Linked DNA regions of Cricetulus griseus. The protein of the gene in region 1 purifies or fractionates together with the protein of each later gene. This does not show direct contact. Links are inferred from orthologs where the notes say so. Each region holds a gene or a part of one and is shown in the gene's direction. Other genes may lie near its edges. The genes, in order: Ppp3cc and Rcan3.

What was found.
Region 2: the proteins of Ppp3cc (region 1) and Rcan3 purify together in Homo sapiens (affinity purification with mass spectrometry; 3 studies listed by BioGRID and IntAct, counting the BioPlex papers as one, with this or other methods). This does not show direct contact. The link is inferred for Cricetulus griseus from reciprocal best matches to the Homo sapiens genes PPP3CC and RCAN3.

What each region holds. Positions count from the first base shown.
Region 1 is NW_023276807.1:224,946,786-224,950,699, reverse strand, and holds the start of Ppp3cc (serine/threonine-protein phosphatase 2B catalytic subunit gamma isoform), read left to right. Parts: upstream 1-1,563; 5' UTR 1,564-1,850; coding exon 1,851-1,899; intron 1,900-3,252; exon of another isoform or gene 3,253-3,391; intron 3,392-3,914. UniProt on the Homo sapiens protein: Calcium-dependent, calmodulin-stimulated protein phosphatase which plays an essential role in the transduction of intracellular Ca(2+)-mediated signals. Dephosphorylates and activates transcription factor NFATC1.
Region 2 is NC_048595.1:17,832,139-17,836,052, forward strand, and holds the start of Rcan3 (calcipressin-3), read left to right. Parts: upstream 1-1,104; 5' UTR 1,105-1,324; intron 1,325-3,914.

The sequences.
Region 1 (3,914 bases):
CCCTTAATCCCAGTACCCAGGAGGCAAAGGCTGGTGGATCTCTGCGAGTTCAAGGCCATCCTGGTCTACAGAATGAGTTCTAGGAATGTAGCCAGGGCTACACAGAGAAACCCTGTCTCAAAAATAACAGCAAAAGATCTAAGTAGTTGATTAATTTTTCCATAACTTTTATTGAATAATCTATTGTTCTCCTTTGGTTTGTAGTTTCCCAAACCGTTTTGTTTTCAGCAACCCTGTGAATGTTAGCATCCGCTATGCTTTAGAATCTGCCTGACAGAGGCACCTGGTTGTTTCTTTAATGGACAACTTTCTTAAAATATGTCAAGGGTTCTCACTGTGGAAACCTGAAACCAGGTTCTGTGAAAATAAAGCCATATTCTAATTATTCCCTGAAGTAATCCTGCCTCAAACGTGCCTTACTGTGAAAGATCTTAGACTGAAACTTCAAGAGGCAATGTAGGGTCTGATTCTAGTCTAGATCTCCAGACTTCCTTTCCGTGTATAAATCCATACTAGGGGAGACTTTGTCTTTACCCTGCAATCGATTAGAAAGAAGCTATCCATAGCACTTTCTGCAATGACTGGGCAGGGTGGTAAATATCAATAATCCCAGCACTTGGAGGCAGAGGCAGGAGGATCAGTAGTTCAGGATCATTCTTGGCTACACATCACCTTCCAGGCCAATCTGAGTGACTTGAGACCTGTTTCAGAAAACAAAACAAACAAAATCCCCCCCCCCAAAAAAAAAACCAAACCAGCTTTGCGCATCGATGGAAATGTCCTATGACAGCCAATAATGTAGCCAGTACCTGAAACTGAACTACTTAATTTACACAACCACTTGTCATTACTCATTGGCCACTGTAGACCACACAATTTCGACCTCTGGCCTCCACTTGAACTTGCTATGGGCAAGCCCACTAGCACACACAAATGCAAACACCTCATGCGGTCACACACACGCACACGATAGGGAGGCCGATGCGGTGTCATTGTACCACAGTGGAATAAATACGTCCAGATTGGCAGGTGGTCCATTAAGGAAAGATCAGTTAGAAGTCAATTCCCTTCATCAAGGAGGTCTGGGCTAGCGAACTAGAAGCCAGTAACAGCTTTCTCGTGGAAGTGGAAACGGATCCCTCCCACCCTCCCAAGTGCTGGACTGGAACTAGGATGGACGCGAAGGTCTTTAGGCTGCTAGGTACAAGTTCCGTGCAACAAACATAAAGTTGATGTAGGGGGTTTCAAGGTGGGGGGGGGTTGGTTAATGGGAGAGGGCAATCTGAGGAACTGGTAGAATGGATAATTTCTTCTGGGGACAAAGTAGTAAGGGAGGAAGCGTTCGTGAGAAGACAGGGGCTCTCTCTGATGAGGGGAGACGCCGGCTTGGTCTCAAGATCGCAGGGGGCTGGCTTGAGAGGCTACAGGTCGGGGTAGAGGTGACGAGCAGCAGGCAAAGAGCATCCGCCCTGTAACACCAAGCTGGCTGCGGGGCAGTAGGAATTAAGAGCGGAAAGCGGAGGGACGCGCGTGCGCAGAGCGCGGCGGGGGGCACGCGGGGCCGCCGGGAAGTTGTGAGCGCGGAGGCGCGCACGCGGGGCTCCGGTCGCGCGCAGCGGCGATCTCCCGAGTTGTGTCCCTCAGCCGCGGTCTCCGTCGCTCTCGACGCGGTCGTCCCCGCCGAGCCGCGGGCGCCGCCGCAGGGAGGGAGCGGCGCTGCGGCCGCCGCCGTCCGAGGACGCCCCGTCTTCCGGGGCCCGGCGCGGTGGCTGCTGGCCCGCCGAACGTAGACCGCTGGGGAGGAAGGCGGCGGCTCGCGTCGTGCGGGCCGCCGGAGCCGGGAGGAGACCATGTCCGGGAGTCACCCTCAGTTCTCCACGACCGATCGCGTCATCAAAGGTGCCGAGCGCGCCGCGGGGAACGGCCCTCGCCGGGCGACGGCTCGGGGACTCGAGGAGCGGGGATGGAGGCAGCGGCGGGAGGCGCTGCAGGGCGCGGGGAGGACCGGGCGGCTGTCCGCCGGCGTCCTCGGTGACTGCTGGACGGGTACCTAGCGGGAGGTGGGTAGAGCGACCGCGCCCGCCATCCACTCCCACGGCAGCCAGGCGCTCTCTCCTGATTCCTTTTTCCTCGTCAAGTCCTGTCTAGCTGGGGATGCCGTCTGGGGTTGTGCGAGCGGGGAGTTCCCATGACTTACCCAGTCGTGCCTCTTCTTAGGCTCAGCTCTTGCTTGACAGTCCCTTGCCTAACCCTTAAAAAAAATTTCTTGCCAGGGGTGTGGCGGGTGTATCGTGCACGTTTGGCCCATTTTGTCTAGATATCACCAGTCACTGCTTTTCCTAAAAGAAACAAGTGGTAGTAACACAAATCTCTTTAATGATGCTTAAAGGGGCTTACAGATTTCTTGACATGCGGGTCTCCTGTTTTCACTTTGGCTGTAGGGACCTCTGATAGAGATGTCTGCCATTGTATCTTATTTCCATTGTTATTTTAAGAATAAAATGTAAAAGTGTTCTCAATCTTTCAGGGTTTTATGGTGTAGTTTCTGCCCTTTAGCCAATAGGACCTGTCAAACATAACCACCCATTGATGTGCTGCTTTTGTCCGACTGTAAGACCTCCTCCGTCTCTCTCTGTAGTAATAGTTGGTTTGAAAGCACTGTTTTTAAGATGGTAATATGCTTAGACCAGCAGTTTCTGGGAAGGGTGGTTTTCATCACAGAGGGAGAAAACTATTAAAATACCTTCTTCCCCCATTTCATTCTGATTTTAGGAGAAAGAAAACTGAGATTAGTAACGATAATATTTTAAAGGGGGGAGCCTATTGAGTGCTCACAGAGAAAATGACAGTATTAATATCATAAATGTTGGTTATCTGCCTTGCCGAACAATACATATGGTACTTTTGGGACTTCTGTCCTTAGGATTTGTTATCATTGGGGATTTCAGTTAATTGCTCATAAAATGGTTGTTAGTCCTTTAACAGCTAAAGTGTCCTGAGCATTTTAGTGTAAGTCTTCATAGCATCTAATCCACAAGGAGGAAAAATGCCTCTTTTAATACGCAGAAATACAAAACTCACATCACACAACCTTTTCTGATGGAGCAAGGTCATCATTATGTACTTTAACTTCTGAACTGAATTGTACTGTGCCGATGACTGTGTAAGGGTGTTGGCAGTTTCCTCTTATATTAAAATGACTTTTCACCACTGTACCATTGTAATGATTCATCCGGCCTTTTCTTTCTAGTGCTTTTCTCTGTCAAAAGATGCCTATTTCTCAGCCGAAGTAGGCAAGGAAACCAGTTAAACCTGAATCCGTGTCAAGTCAGGATAAATGAAGTCTGATCAAGGCTTAGTGGCACCCTCAGACCTTCAAGAATCTCACAGTGTAATTTCTTTTTTTGTACCTGTTATTTCCACCATTATTTGTAAAGGACGTTTTAAAATGACTAATTCTTACACTTAAACAGAAGTGGAATGAAAGACAGGTAAAGTATAGGTGCTGTTTATTGCTAGTATGTTTACAGCTAAGTGAATACCATTTTTACAGTCTGTAGGATATGATACAAACTTGTTCTTTAGCAGAAATTACCACATTCTGTAAACTTTCAAGACCTGTGTCTCTCTTTGTGTGAGGGATTAAGCAGAATTTCATTCTGTTGTGCAGCCAGGCAAACTCATGGTTACTCCTACAGCAGTCTTAAATGATGGGAATACAGATGTAAACTACATACCTAGTTTAAGCCTTCTGTTTTGTTTTGAGACAGGGTCTCTCTATGTAGTACTGGGTGTCCTGGATCTATGGTGGTGCAAAATTTTAATCCCAGCCCTCAGGAGGGAGGGGCAGGCAGATCTATTGTTTTGAGGCCAGCCTGGCCTACAGAGTGAATTCCAGGATAGCCAGGGAGGGC
Region 2 (3,914 bases), on another chromosome or scaffold:
CAGTGCCCGTCGCCTTGCCAGACACAATGAGGAGGATGAAGGATGTGGAAGATTCCATTCCTGTTCTCAATTTCTTGCTCTTGTTCACAACACAGGCAGCAACAACTCTTCCTTTGCCCGGAAGGCAGGCACACAGTTCTGACGGCTGACTTTTGACCTTTGACCTTTGTGTTTTATCTGTGTAATAGCCCTGGCTGTCCTGGAACTCGCTTTGTAGACCAGGCTGGCCTTGAACTCTTCTATTCATTTTTTTTTTTTTTTTGGACGGGTAGTCATGTGGAGGTCAAGGAACAATTGCGGGAGTTGGTTCTCTCCTTCCACCATGTTGGTCCCTGGTTGGGAGCAAGCACCCTCAGCCCCTGAACCCGGCTGCCGGCTAGCTGAGCAGATTCCTTCTAGCGGGAGCTGAGACAAGAAGATCTCCAGCTCTGTGCCTGTCATCTAGCCTATCAGCTGAAGGAAGGCACAGCTCCCCGCCAGGCTGGTCTCAGCAACAGTAATTAAACTAACCCGCAGTGATGCCAGCCAGCCTCGGTGCTACCACGGGTGGAGACCTCGACTAGACATGATTGGTGCCCCATTGTCTCCAAGGGAGACACGCAAGACTGTGCAAGGAAAGGCAAACGCAAACATCATTAATATTGTACGTCTGTGCAGGCTGCAATGGAGGGAGGAGACACACCTGCTGACACCCACAGCTCGGCGACGTCACTGTCGCCTCTGCTGGGCGGAGGGGGCTGCGGGGCGCGGTCCGGCACATCCGGCTGGCGGGTTCCCGGGAGGTTCCCGGGTAAAGGTTCCTAGTATCCTCGCTAGCTGTTCCTGTCACTGTCGTGTGGGGCCCGCAAGAAGCGAGAGGAGAGGTTTCAGGGTGGCGGCGGATACGTAGGGGTCGTCCAAGGTCCCGTTTTAGAGGTCACATACAGCCTTTGCCTCAGGGCTCCCGCCCAAGCCCTTCACAGCCTGTACCCGAGAGCCAGGAAGAGCGGGCGAGAGCGCGCGCGCGCAGAGCCTGCCCCGCCCCCTGGGGCCCCGCCCACCACAAGGACTCCCGCCCACCGAGCTGCCAGCCCCTCCCACCTGTCTGTGCGCCTGCGCAGCGCGCCCGGTAGGCGCGAGGAACCGAGGGAGGGCGCGAGGCGCGCGGGTCCGGGAGCGCGCGCGCGACGCCAGCAACCTTGCTCGGGCCCAAGTCACCGCCCGCGTCCCCGGCTGAGGCAGCCGGCGTCGAGGGCGTGGCGGCTCCCCGCGGCCCCGGGCGGAGGGGGTCTGTCGGCTCCAGGCCGCGCTCGTCGCCCCCGGGCCTCTCCCCTCGAGCGCACAGGTGAGTCTCCCCTTCGCAGGGCGGGGCCGGCGCGCGGCCGCTCGGAACAGGTTTGCAGCGGCGCTGGCTGATGGATCCCCAGGACCCCTGAAAGTTACAGCAGCCCCAGCCGCAGCAGCAGCTGCCCGGAGCCCCCTAGACGCTGCTAAGGGCCAGCTGCCTGGTCCCCAGGGTCTTCCCCGGACGCTTCGGGGTGACATCCTACAAAACACTACTCGCCAAGTCCTTCCTCCACCACCGATTTCTCCAACAGCTGTACGACTTTTTGAAAGGTGGCAGGGCCAACCTGCCCCCAGGGCAGGAAAGGTGTGGCCAGTAAGACAGGGATGGCAGCAGGTGGAAGCCCCAGTCTCCTCCCCGCTTTTCCCTCCCCCAGGATGCAGGAATAATCATCAGCGCATCTCTGCGTCCCTGGCTTCTGGAAACTTGTGTCCGCCTCCCAAACCGACGCACCTTCAATATCAGTCTGTTTCCAGGTTGCCCGGTTCCAGCTTCCGTGTGAAATCTCATCATCCCCTCAGGGGATTAAGATTCTAGCGGCTCACGTCTGTGTTTCAGATTCAAACCAGGATTATTTAGCGTGATATTGTAGTGTACGAAGGGTTTAAGAATCAAAACATATTCACCTCCCCTTACTGAAAGCTATCTAGTACAACACATTTACCTGAACTTTTCGTAGAAGTCTTTCGCCTTCTGTTTGGCCAGAGAAGTAATTTCATCTGTAGCTGTAATTAAAGATTACTTAAAAATCTTATTCTAAGGACTGGGTGTGGCACATGTTTATAATCTCAGCACTTGGGAGGCTGGGCTGGATTACAAAACAAGGCCCTGTCCAAAAACAACAACAACAACAATAAAAAACCAAAAACCCCCAAAACCCTTACTTTATCACTATGCCATTACCTCTGGTCTGATATATAAAACTGTAAAGCAATGTTTGGCCCTAAATGATGGCTCAGCAGGTAAAGACACTTGCTGCAAAGCTTGACAACTGGAGTTTGTGGGTCCCAGGAGAGAACCAGCTCCTCCTGCAAGTTGCCCTCCACATGAGTGTTGCTGTGGCCACAGGCAAACACACATACATACATTAAATAAATAAATACATATATTCTAACAAAATATTGGGGCTGGAGGGCTGGCTCGGCTGTTAAGAGCACTTACTGCTTTAGTAGAGGCCTGGGGTTGGATTCCCGGCACCCATATGACAGCTCATAGCAGTCTGTACAGTTCCAGGTGGTCCCACCCTTCTTCATACCTCTGAGGGCCCATACATGTACCTGATACACAAACATACACCCACAGGCACACACCTACATGTAAATAAATAAGTAAAAAGCCGGAATTTAAAAATATAGTAGTCTTGGAGTCTAGATGTTCATGCAGCATATAGAGTTGTTCTTTTTGATCAGAATTTCATGTTAGTGGTCTGATAGACTGTGGATATAGGAGGGTTATGAAAAAATTAGTGTCCTGTTAGTCTTTGCTATAGTTTTACATTTTACCTCCTTGGCAACTGGTTTCCAAGAAAAGAGGTTTTAGGGGATTTTTTTCTTTACTATTTAATCATGATATGTTTTAAGGTTTTAAAAGCTTATATAGTCTTAGGCTAAACAAATGAGAAGCAATGCTGCATGCTGTTACAGGAAATAAGAATCCAAAAATGAGGAGAGGTGAGGAAAAACAGTGTGACTTAGAACTCTGTTCACCTGACCCTGCACAGTGGCTGCAGGATTTGATGAAGCATTTGACTTAGTCCTAAAGACCTACAGAGAGCTCAACTCGTAGCTCAATGGTAAAACACTTGACCAGCATGCTTGAGGTCCTAGGTTCAATCCCCAGTATTAGAAGAGGAAAAAAAGTCCTTCAGCCATTGAGTGAGGGTGTATCACCCTGAAGAGATTATGTTTAGGGAAGATGACTTATATGCAACAAAGCAAATAGCATCAGTTTTTCTCCAAAGCCTTACATTTATTGCTTTCATTTTGTCTTTCTCATACTAATAGGTAGAACAAGAATATCGATGACGATAGGAACAGTGATAGATTATCAATAAAATGGTGTGACTTGAGGTCCTAGAAACACTCACAGAAATGTAATTTTTAGGTTTTTAAAGGCTTATTTTTTGTGCACGAATGTTTTGTCTATATATATGTATATATACATGTACCCCATGTATGCCTGGTGCCCTCAGAAGGCATCAGTATCCTGGAACTATTGATGGTTATGAGCTCCCATGTGGGTGCTGGGAACTGAACCCAGGTCTTCTGCAAGAGCCATCTTTCTAGCCCCAGAATATAACTTTTAAAAAGATTTATTTTTTTAAATTGTGTCTGTGTATGAGTATATGCACATGTCACAGGTATCCATGGAGGCCAGGAGAGGACATTGTACCCCCTGGAGCTGGAGTTGCAGGTAGGAGCTAGGAACCAAACTCTGGTCCCTCTGCAAAAGCAGAACATGCTCTTAACTGCATCTTTCCAGTCCCCAAATCTAATCTTTATAACCTATTTTACACTAATGTTCCACCAACTTTATTATGCCGATTTTTGTTTCTCATTACTACTTTGGGGGGAAAAAAAGAGTAGAATTC